2 linked regions of the Coturnix japonica genome follow. The protein of the gene in region 1 interacts with the protein of each later gene in a pairwise test. Links are inferred from orthologs where the notes say so. Each region holds a gene or a part of one and is shown on either strand. Other genes may lie near its edges.

Region 1 (4,126 bases):
TTGTGCAGCAGACACTGCTCCTAGTTCTGTTGAATTACCGTATCGCAGCACTGGAGGGATGCGTGTTTTCTAGAAAGGTCAATAAAATAGAAAAGAATTGCTCAAGACCGCTTAATAAAGTAGTTCTAGAGATAAGCAGGCCTCATCCACGCAGTATTTCCTTGAAGGTTTCCTTACCATTCTTTAAATAACCTGCCGTTTCACCTCTGGTAGCATTCCTGTAACACAGCTGGCAGTCTGCATAGCACAATGTCGTCTAGACCTGCTCTGAACAGAGTTGGATGACACAGGAGTAAAAATGCTGATGGCTGTTCGGGTGCCTGCGCTGTGCTGAAGGAACGATAGGAGGAAGAACGAGGCAGAGCTGAACGAGACACAAGTTCCTTGTTCCTCCTCCGTTCCTCCCTTGTTCCTCATCTCACGCCCAGGCTCGTCAGACAATCCCATCAACCATACAGAAAAGTTGTGGCGGTCATGGGGCTAAGGAATAATCTTCACATAGGTGGGAAAAAACAATCCCAAACCCCCGTTAGCTGATATAGCATCAAGCACCACTCAGAGGTCTCAGAATAGGCAGCTAACAAACACATCCCTGCACTGCTATCTCCCATCTCTCCTCCCCCACCTGTGCCTCAGAAATGTTTTCTTAACGATTCGGAAGAGAAATGGCAAAAAGGTTGATGCGAAACACAGAAAGAAATGAAGTTCGTTCCCTGTTCTCAAACGATTTGGCCGTAGCATGACAAGAGGAAAAAAACATATTGAGAGCGATAAATCCATATATACCTACTCCAAACTACACCCAGCATCCCGAGGGACCCGATGTAATGGTAAATAAATATAGATGCAGTTCCTACTAATGAGGTAGGGTACAGCAAGGCCAAAGCAAATGCAATCAGCTCGGGGAAAAGAACTGCACAGGACTCCTCCTCTCCCATCCAGGGAAGAAATCAAATAGCAGCCACACCATCCCAGGAAGAAAGCAATGTACCTGATGAACCCTGCAGCAATGAGCTGGGATGCAAGCAGGCACTACAGCACCAAGCCTTTCCCCACCAGTTTCCCCTTCCCTGTATTTACGTGCTGTCTTACAGGCAAATTGTAGTTTTCCCCCCCAGTTTCCTTCCCCTCCATCCCTATATAGTTGGATCAGGGGCATCCAGCAGATCCGCTCCCACACCGCCAAGCCCTGGCTGTCACGTTAACACTTTCCTCCCTACAAAGTTTCAACCTTCCCAGCTCCAGCTCACGTGCTGTGCTGTACTTAAAGCCACTTATCTCTAGTCCCAATGAGAACAAATTAAGCTACACCCCACTCCGCTGTCTGCTTACAGCCTTGATTTTCCTCTTCCTTCTTCCCTCCCCACCCCCCCCAAAGAAGCATTTTGACCCCTGCACATCACCGAACACCCACAGCTTTTTTCAGACCCACCGAAAAGGGTAAAATAAAAACCACAACAAAAAACACGACATTCCAAAGAAGTACTTCGCAAAACAACTGAAAAACCCACCAGAGGTGGAAGAACTCAGCCCAACCTGCTTCATATGTGCGATCTGAGCTGATAAACAGCACCGAACTCGGGTAGGGTCAGCCCAGAAGCGGGGCAGGGTGGGTGGGCAGCATCCCCTGCCATGCCGGGCTCTCAAGGGGGCATGAGGGTCCCCCGAACGAACCCGGGCACAGACAGAGAAGCGTCGCAGCTTCTCTCCCCGTGAAGTAGGGAATAAACAAGCGGCTGACACCCCGCCCAAACCCTCCTCACACGTTTTAGGACCGATTTGTCGCCGGCTCCTTCACCCCATCCCGCACAAACGAATCCCTTCGGTTCGACGCCTTCGCCCTCCCGCAAAGCCCCGGCAGCGGCACAGCTCGGGGGGGGGAGGCGGAATGCCCTTTTCCCCCCCACATAACCGTAGGAAAACAGTTGGGTTCACCCCGGAATGAGTGATCGCTCCCTCAAGGGTCGGATCCCGGAAAGGAATGAGGAGAAAAGAGGGGGATAAAGGGCTGAGAGATATGGGGGGGGTATGGGGAGGGAAGGGGGAAAGAGGGATGAGGGAGGGGGGCCCCCCCCAGCTCCGCTCGGGGTTCGCGGTCCCAGCACCGAAACAAGCGGAAAAATAAAGAAGAATAAAGAAATAAACGAAAGAACCAGCACCCACCCAACCTGAGGGGACTCCGCCGCCGCGACTTCGTCCTCCCCACACCCGGGAGTGGATGGGGGGGTGAAGAGGGGGGATGAAGGGGTGAAAACACAAAACAGAATAAAAAGCCGAAGCAGCAGCAGCAGCAGCAGCAGAGCGATCTCCCTGTTATCCGGGGGCACCCTTCCGTCCCCCTCCTCACGCACCCTCGGATCTCCTCACGCCTCGAATCCCTCCCAGGCTCAGACACAGCCGGGGGGGCCCTTCCCCCTCCCACCCACCCTCCCTCCCACCCTCCCTCCTGGCAGCCCACCCACCCGCCCGCCCCCGTTCCCCCCCTCACCCCCACTCACTCACTCCCGGTGCCGGCGGTTCCTCCGCTTCACCATTGAACGGGCCGCCCCCGCCGGGGACCCCCCCCCTGCAATGAGGGGAGATGAACGTGGACAACAATAGCGCTGTGCTGCCGGAGCCCCCCGAGGATAACAGCCCCCCCCTCCCCTCTCTGCCCCCTCGGCTCCTTTTCTCTCTGTTGGGCTTTATTTTTTTGTGGTGGTGGTTTTTATTTCTCCCCCCCCCCCCTCCCGGCTCGCTCACACCAGACCGACTGTCTTTGTCTGTCTGACAAGCGCCATGTTGATATCAACATCCGAGCTCCCACCTGCTGCAGCTGTGAGACCCTGGGACTTGTAGTTCCCCCCTCCCCAGGGTGACGGGGAGCGCCGCGGCTCACGGACTACAATTCCCAGCGTGCCGTGCGGCGCGGCGCCACCACGGGAGCGCGGGGCGAAGCGGAGCGCGGACTACGGCTCCCAGCATGCAACGGGACGGCAAGGTGATATGGAGGGGGGCGGCATGACGTCATCACGGGGGGACTACAAATCCCGTGATGCTTTGCGGCGGGAAGGGGGAGCGAGCCGGAAGTGGGGGGGCAGGATTGTGCCTGTAAATAGAGCCGGGCAGCATGAAGCTGGTGAGTGGGGGCTATGGGGCCATTGGGGGCCGTGGGGGGTCTATAGGGCCATGGGGGGCTGTTGGAGGCTATTGGGGTCTATTGGGGGCTATTGGGGTCTTTGGGGGCTATTGGGGTCTATGGGGGCTATTGGGGTGTATGGGGGGCTGTGGGGGGCCATGGGAGGCTATTGGGGGCTATGGGAGGCTATTGGGGTGTGTGGAGGGCTGCTGGAGGCTATTGGGGCCTATTGGAGGCTATTGGGGCCTATTGGGGGCTATTGGAGGCTATTGGGGGCTATTGGGGGCTATTGGGGGCATGGGAGGCTATGGAGGGCTATTGGGGCTATGGGAGGCTATTGGGATGTATTTGGGGGCCATGGAGGCTACTGGGGGCCATGGGAGGCTACTGGGGGGCCATGGGAGGCTACTGGGGGCTATGGGGGCTGCTGGTGGCTATGGGAGGCTGTTGGGGGCTATGGGAGGCTATTGGGATGTATGGGGGGGCTACTAGGGGCTATGGGGGGAGCTGGGTGGTGTTCTCTGCGCTGGGATCACCCTCGGGGGTTGGGTGAGGGGCAGGCAGTGGGTTTGGGCCCATAGCACATGGGGCTGTCCCATAGGAGCATCCCCAATGGTTCGGTGTGGAAATAGCTGCTGCTTTAGTGTTAATACACGTAGCTGAGGACACAGCACTGTGTTATTCACTAGGAGAGTGGTTAGGCCCTGGAAACAGGCTGCCCAGGGAGGTTGTGGATGCCCCGTCCTTGGAGGTGTTTCAAGGCCAGGTTGGATGGGGCCATGGGCAACCTGATCTATGGGGTCTCTATGGGGTCTATGGGGTCCTATGGGTCCTATGGGGTCTCTTGGCAACCTGATACTAGTAAATGTGTAGTGTTTGGTGGCCCTGCTAGGCAGGGGGGTGAACTACATGATCCTTGAGGTCCCTTCCAACCCGGGTCAGTCTGTGATTATTACACGCCTGGTGCCTTCAACTCGATGTAAGGCATAAACACTGAGTCAGGGGTTG
Region 2 (3,986 bases), on another chromosome or scaffold:
TGACACTTTCTACGGTACATTTGGCCCGGCGCAGATTTTTGGCGACCTTCACAACGCAGCTCGGTGCAGAACGATGTTTTGGCCGCATTTTCCGGTGTTGCCTGACCCAAAGCTTCAGGAATGTGATAAGAAAGCCGAGTTCTGAACCGAGCTGCCGATAGCGAGGTCTCTTTAATTAGGGCTTTATCAGAGTCGGGCCTGATTAAAATGTGCTGAAAATAATTGAAAGCTATACAGCTGCTGCAGCACGGGGCCCGCGGGAGGACTCCAGTTGTGGAGGAGCCCAGCTTGGATGAAGGAGACGGGCGGACCAGAAGGGGAAAGCTGGGCAGAGCTTCCAAAGCCTCGCTCCCTACCCCCACGCCCCAGCCTAGACTTGGCTGAAGTGTCATCGCAGAGCCAAGGTAACGTCTTTCCCACGGTCGGAAGAACAGGCTATAAGCCCGGGAGTTCAACCTTGAGGAGAGCGAAAACAAGAACTTTTTATCCGCTGCCGAGAATAAATAAATCAATCAATAGAAAAGCGAGCACCCTTTGCCGAATTCCTCCTCGGCGAAGGAAGGAACGCTACCCGGACGGGCCGGAGCGGGAGGGAGGGAGGGGCTGCGCCGCAGCCGTGCTGCCCGAGCTCTGCCCCCCGCAGCAGGGCACGGCCACGCACACACCTGCACGACTCGCTGCCAAGTGCGGGAGCTGCCGCCGTCTCGGGGTACAGCGGTGTGCCCGCGAGCTGCGGAGCCGCCCGCACGGAACCCTGCCCGGCTTAAGGCCGCAGCCAAGACGGGTGCTGTGTTTCTGAGCGTTAAAGGCTCCCTTTCGCTTTGGGGGCTTAGAAATCAGAGGGCACCCACTTAACCACCTTGTCCTTCTCGTCACTACTTCTGCTCGGCCATTAAAACCGTCTCAGATATCTGAAATGCTTTCAGGTGTCCGAACAACACCAGCGGCCCCGTGCTGCGACGGCCGCCTCTGGGGATGCCGCGTAACTTCCCCAACCGAGCTGGGCCCTGCGCTCCGCTCCCAGTTTTTCGATATCGGCAGACCGGCAAACGCCTGGTCCGGGCCCCCTCTCCTTTACCCCGGCCCGCCTGGGAGCAAAGGCACCCCGCAACAGCCGGGAGCTGGAGGCCGGCCACCCGCAGCACCCAATCTACGGCCCGAGGCTGGCTGCTGGGCCGCGGAAGAGCGGAACACCCGCCGGCAGCGCAGAGCCTGCCCCGAGACCCTCCGGTCGGCTGCGACAGCGCTGCTCCGGGCCCGCTCCTCCAGCCGCCTCGCCGTGCGTGGGCACCTTCCCCCGGGCCGGGCAGAGCGGGGACGGAACGCGGCGGGAGGCGCAGCCCGGGGATCCCCAGCGAGAGCTCCGCTCTCTCTCCCTTCTTGTTCGCGTTAGCTCCAGCAGATGTTTACATTGCCGCCGCTGGAAGAAAAACCATTAAGCGATAACCCCGTTCCGTAGGCGGGGGCTGACCGATCGTTAACCGCGCACCCACGCCAATTTCTGGGGGCAGCGCGAACAGCGGGGCCACGACGCTTGCAGCCCGCCGTGTCCCTGCCGCGGAGCCGCCGAGAGGGAACCAGAAGCCGCCCGGTGCGTGCGGCCCGGCCCGAGGAGCCAGCGCTCCCGAGGTAGGTCCGACAAACGCCCGGAGAACAGCACCGGGCGGACAGCAGCCCGCATATTCAGGAGGAGGTAAACAACTCTACCCCCGCCCCTACACTGCACGGCTTGCAGAGGGAATGGTCTGAGGGCAGCCACCCCATCTCCACGTCGGGACCGTCCTCAGCCCGAATACAGTCCCGAGAAGAGAGGAGGCTGCCGTAGCCAGGGCCGAGGCCGGGGTAGCCCGCTGCGCCCTTGGGAGAGCCGAGAGCGGCTCCCGGAGCTGCCCGGAGGGGCGCGGCAGGGGCTCCGTACGTTCGGCAAACGCGGGTCGGAGAGCCCACGGCTGTGCCCGCGGGGCTGAGCCCGAGGCCGGGTGCTCGGCGCCGCCCTTACCCTGGTTGCGAATGGCTTGCTGGCTCTCCAGGCAGTTAGGCAGGTAGGGCCCGTTGGGGAACATCCTGGCCTGGCCGGAGGGCGGCTGGCTGGGCGGCGGGGCGCCGAAGGGCCCGTAGCGGCAGGCCCCGGCCGTGCCCGTGAACTGCCCGGAGAAGTGGACGGTGAAAGCGCTCAGGTACTGCTCCTCGTGCGGGTCCGACCCGTTCCAGCTGGGTTCCTGCTTGATGAAGGAGTGCGGCCCCAGCGAGCCGTAGGAGGCCCCCGGGGGGAAGTCCAGGACGGGAGCCCACTGCGCCGCGCTGCTCACCGGCATGGCGCAGTTGCTGTTGCCCGGTAGGGAGGGCACGGAGGGCAGCAGCGCGTTCAGGTCCCGGACGTCGGACCCCATCTGCTCGCAGACCTTCTGCCTGCCGCCGGGCAGCCAGTCTCCCCCCGGGCCGCACTTATTCCAGGACACCTGGCCTCTGCCCGCCAGGCCGGAGGCCGGCTCCGGCTGCAGGCACCAGGCCGGAGAGCTCAGCCCCTTGGGGGAGGTTTGCTCCGCGACGCAGCTCCCCGGGTCCAGCCCTGCGGGAGCGGGCAGCAGCGACAGGGAAAGGTTGTTCTCCAGGATCGCCTCCGGGGCCGCGCCCGCTCGTAGCGCAGGGCGGGGTGCGCGCGTGTCCGTGCGGCCGCGGCCGTGTCTGTGTGTCTGTCCGCGCGTGCCGTGGGGGGGGGGATGGCACAGCCGCCTCGCACGCCGCACCTCGGCTGCCTGCTCGCCCTCAACTTTGCAAAGCTCAAATAGAGGCGCTCGCAGGGGAGGAGGAGTCAGCCGCGAAGATCCTCCATTCACACAACCTTCGTCAAGGGGCTGCCCACAGCCCGCTCTGCTGAACCGACCCGGGCCAGCCGGGGGTGGGGAGCGCGGGGGGTCGGGGGGTGGGGACGCGAGGACGGAGGGGGAGAGGTTACTGTGGGAGAATATATCTCCCTTACGCATCCCTCCCACCCTTCCTCCGGTGCAAGCGCCACTAAATCTCACCCTAACATCCCTTCGCTTTTGAGAGACCTGGCGAGACCGCCAGAGGGATGCGGGCGGCCCCGTAAGTACGTGCCGCACCGCTTCCCGCAGCCCCGCGCACGTCCCGCGGGACCCCGGGCACCGAGCGGAGAAGCCGCCACCCCTGCAGGCGAGCCGACCCGGCGAGGGAAAAATGTGTCCTTCCAGGTGCTCTCCCCGTGCGGGAGACGTCCGCGTCCCCCGAGCCGCCCGTGCCTAGAGGGGAGGAGGTGGCTGGGCTGCCGCGGAAGGACCGCAGCACAACGAGCGCCCGCATCGGGGACTCACCCGGCGCAGCTCCGGGGAGGACCCGCACTCTCCCTTCCCTACCCAGCCCGGACGGCGGCTCCGCAGCACGAACCCGGCGGCACTTCACGCGTTATCTCGGACAGCCCTCCCGGTCAGCTCGGCGGGTTGGGGGCTAGCCCCGGCAGCCAGGGGGCCGCGACCTTTTCCCCGCCCCTACCGGCAGGGCGGACGGCGAGGCCCCCGGGACTCGGCCGTGCCTGCCGCGGCCAGGCGCACCACGGCATCCGGCGCAGATACGAGCCCGCCGCCTCCCCCCGTAGACGCGTACCAAGAGCGGGATCCTGCCCCCCTCCTCCCGAAGTACTCATCGCTATCGACCCGGCGGGGGGAAGGCTGAGCCCCTGGGGCACGCGTATGACAGCTCCGCCGGGCCGCTTGTGGGTGCGCTCCCGTTGCGCCCCGAGCTCGGCCGGCAACACTCGCACCCCCGCGCCCCGGTCAGAAGTCGCTCCCCCGAAGCTGTAGTGATAAAAGCGGTTACCTGCCGCTGGAAGGGTGGGCCCCGATGTCCTCCGGTGGCAACTCGCGCTGCGGCGTTCACGTTCCCCGCGGCATTAAAGGTTAGCGCTGCTTCCATCGCCGACCTCCAAACGATGTTTTAAAATTGCTGCAACAAAATAAATCGAAACGGCC

The links. The genes of interacting proteins can lie anywhere in the genome.
Region 2: the proteins of HMBOX1 (region 1) and WT1 interact in binary tests that used the Homo sapiens proteins (3 or more experiments, as listed by UniProt). The link is inferred for Coturnix japonica from reciprocal best matches to the Homo sapiens genes HMBOX1 and WT1.

The regions. Positions count from the first base shown.
Region 1 is NC_029518.1:96,819,239-96,823,364, reverse strand, and holds the start of HMBOX1 (homeobox-containing protein 1), read right to left. Parts: upstream 2,801-4,126; 5' UTR 2,499-2,800; intron 2,372-2,498; exon of another isoform or gene 2,352-2,371; intron 2,332-2,351; exon of another isoform or gene 2,164-2,331; intron 810-2,163; exon of another isoform or gene 178-809; intron 1-177. Other genes in the region: INTS9 (integrator complex subunit 9), read left to right, coding at 3,110-3,118. UniProt on the Homo sapiens protein: Binds directly to 5'-TTAGGG-3' repeats in telomeric DNA. Associates with the telomerase complex at sites of active telomere processing and positively regulates telomere elongation.
Region 2 is NC_029520.1:4,411,105-4,415,090, reverse strand, and holds the start of WT1 (Wilms tumor protein), read right to left. Parts: upstream 2,801-3,986; 5' UTR 2,775-2,800; coding exon of another isoform or gene 2,721-2,774; 5' UTR 2,391-2,720; coding exon 2,000-2,390; intron 1-1,999. Other genes in the region: uncharacterized protein LOC107314335, read left to right, coding at 2,721-2,774, 2,853-3,087, 3,213-3,457, 3,614-3,955. UniProt on the Homo sapiens protein: Transcription factor that plays an important role in cellular development and cell survival. Recognizes and binds to the DNA sequence 5'-GCG(T/G)GGGCG-3'. Regulates the expression of numerous target genes, including EPO.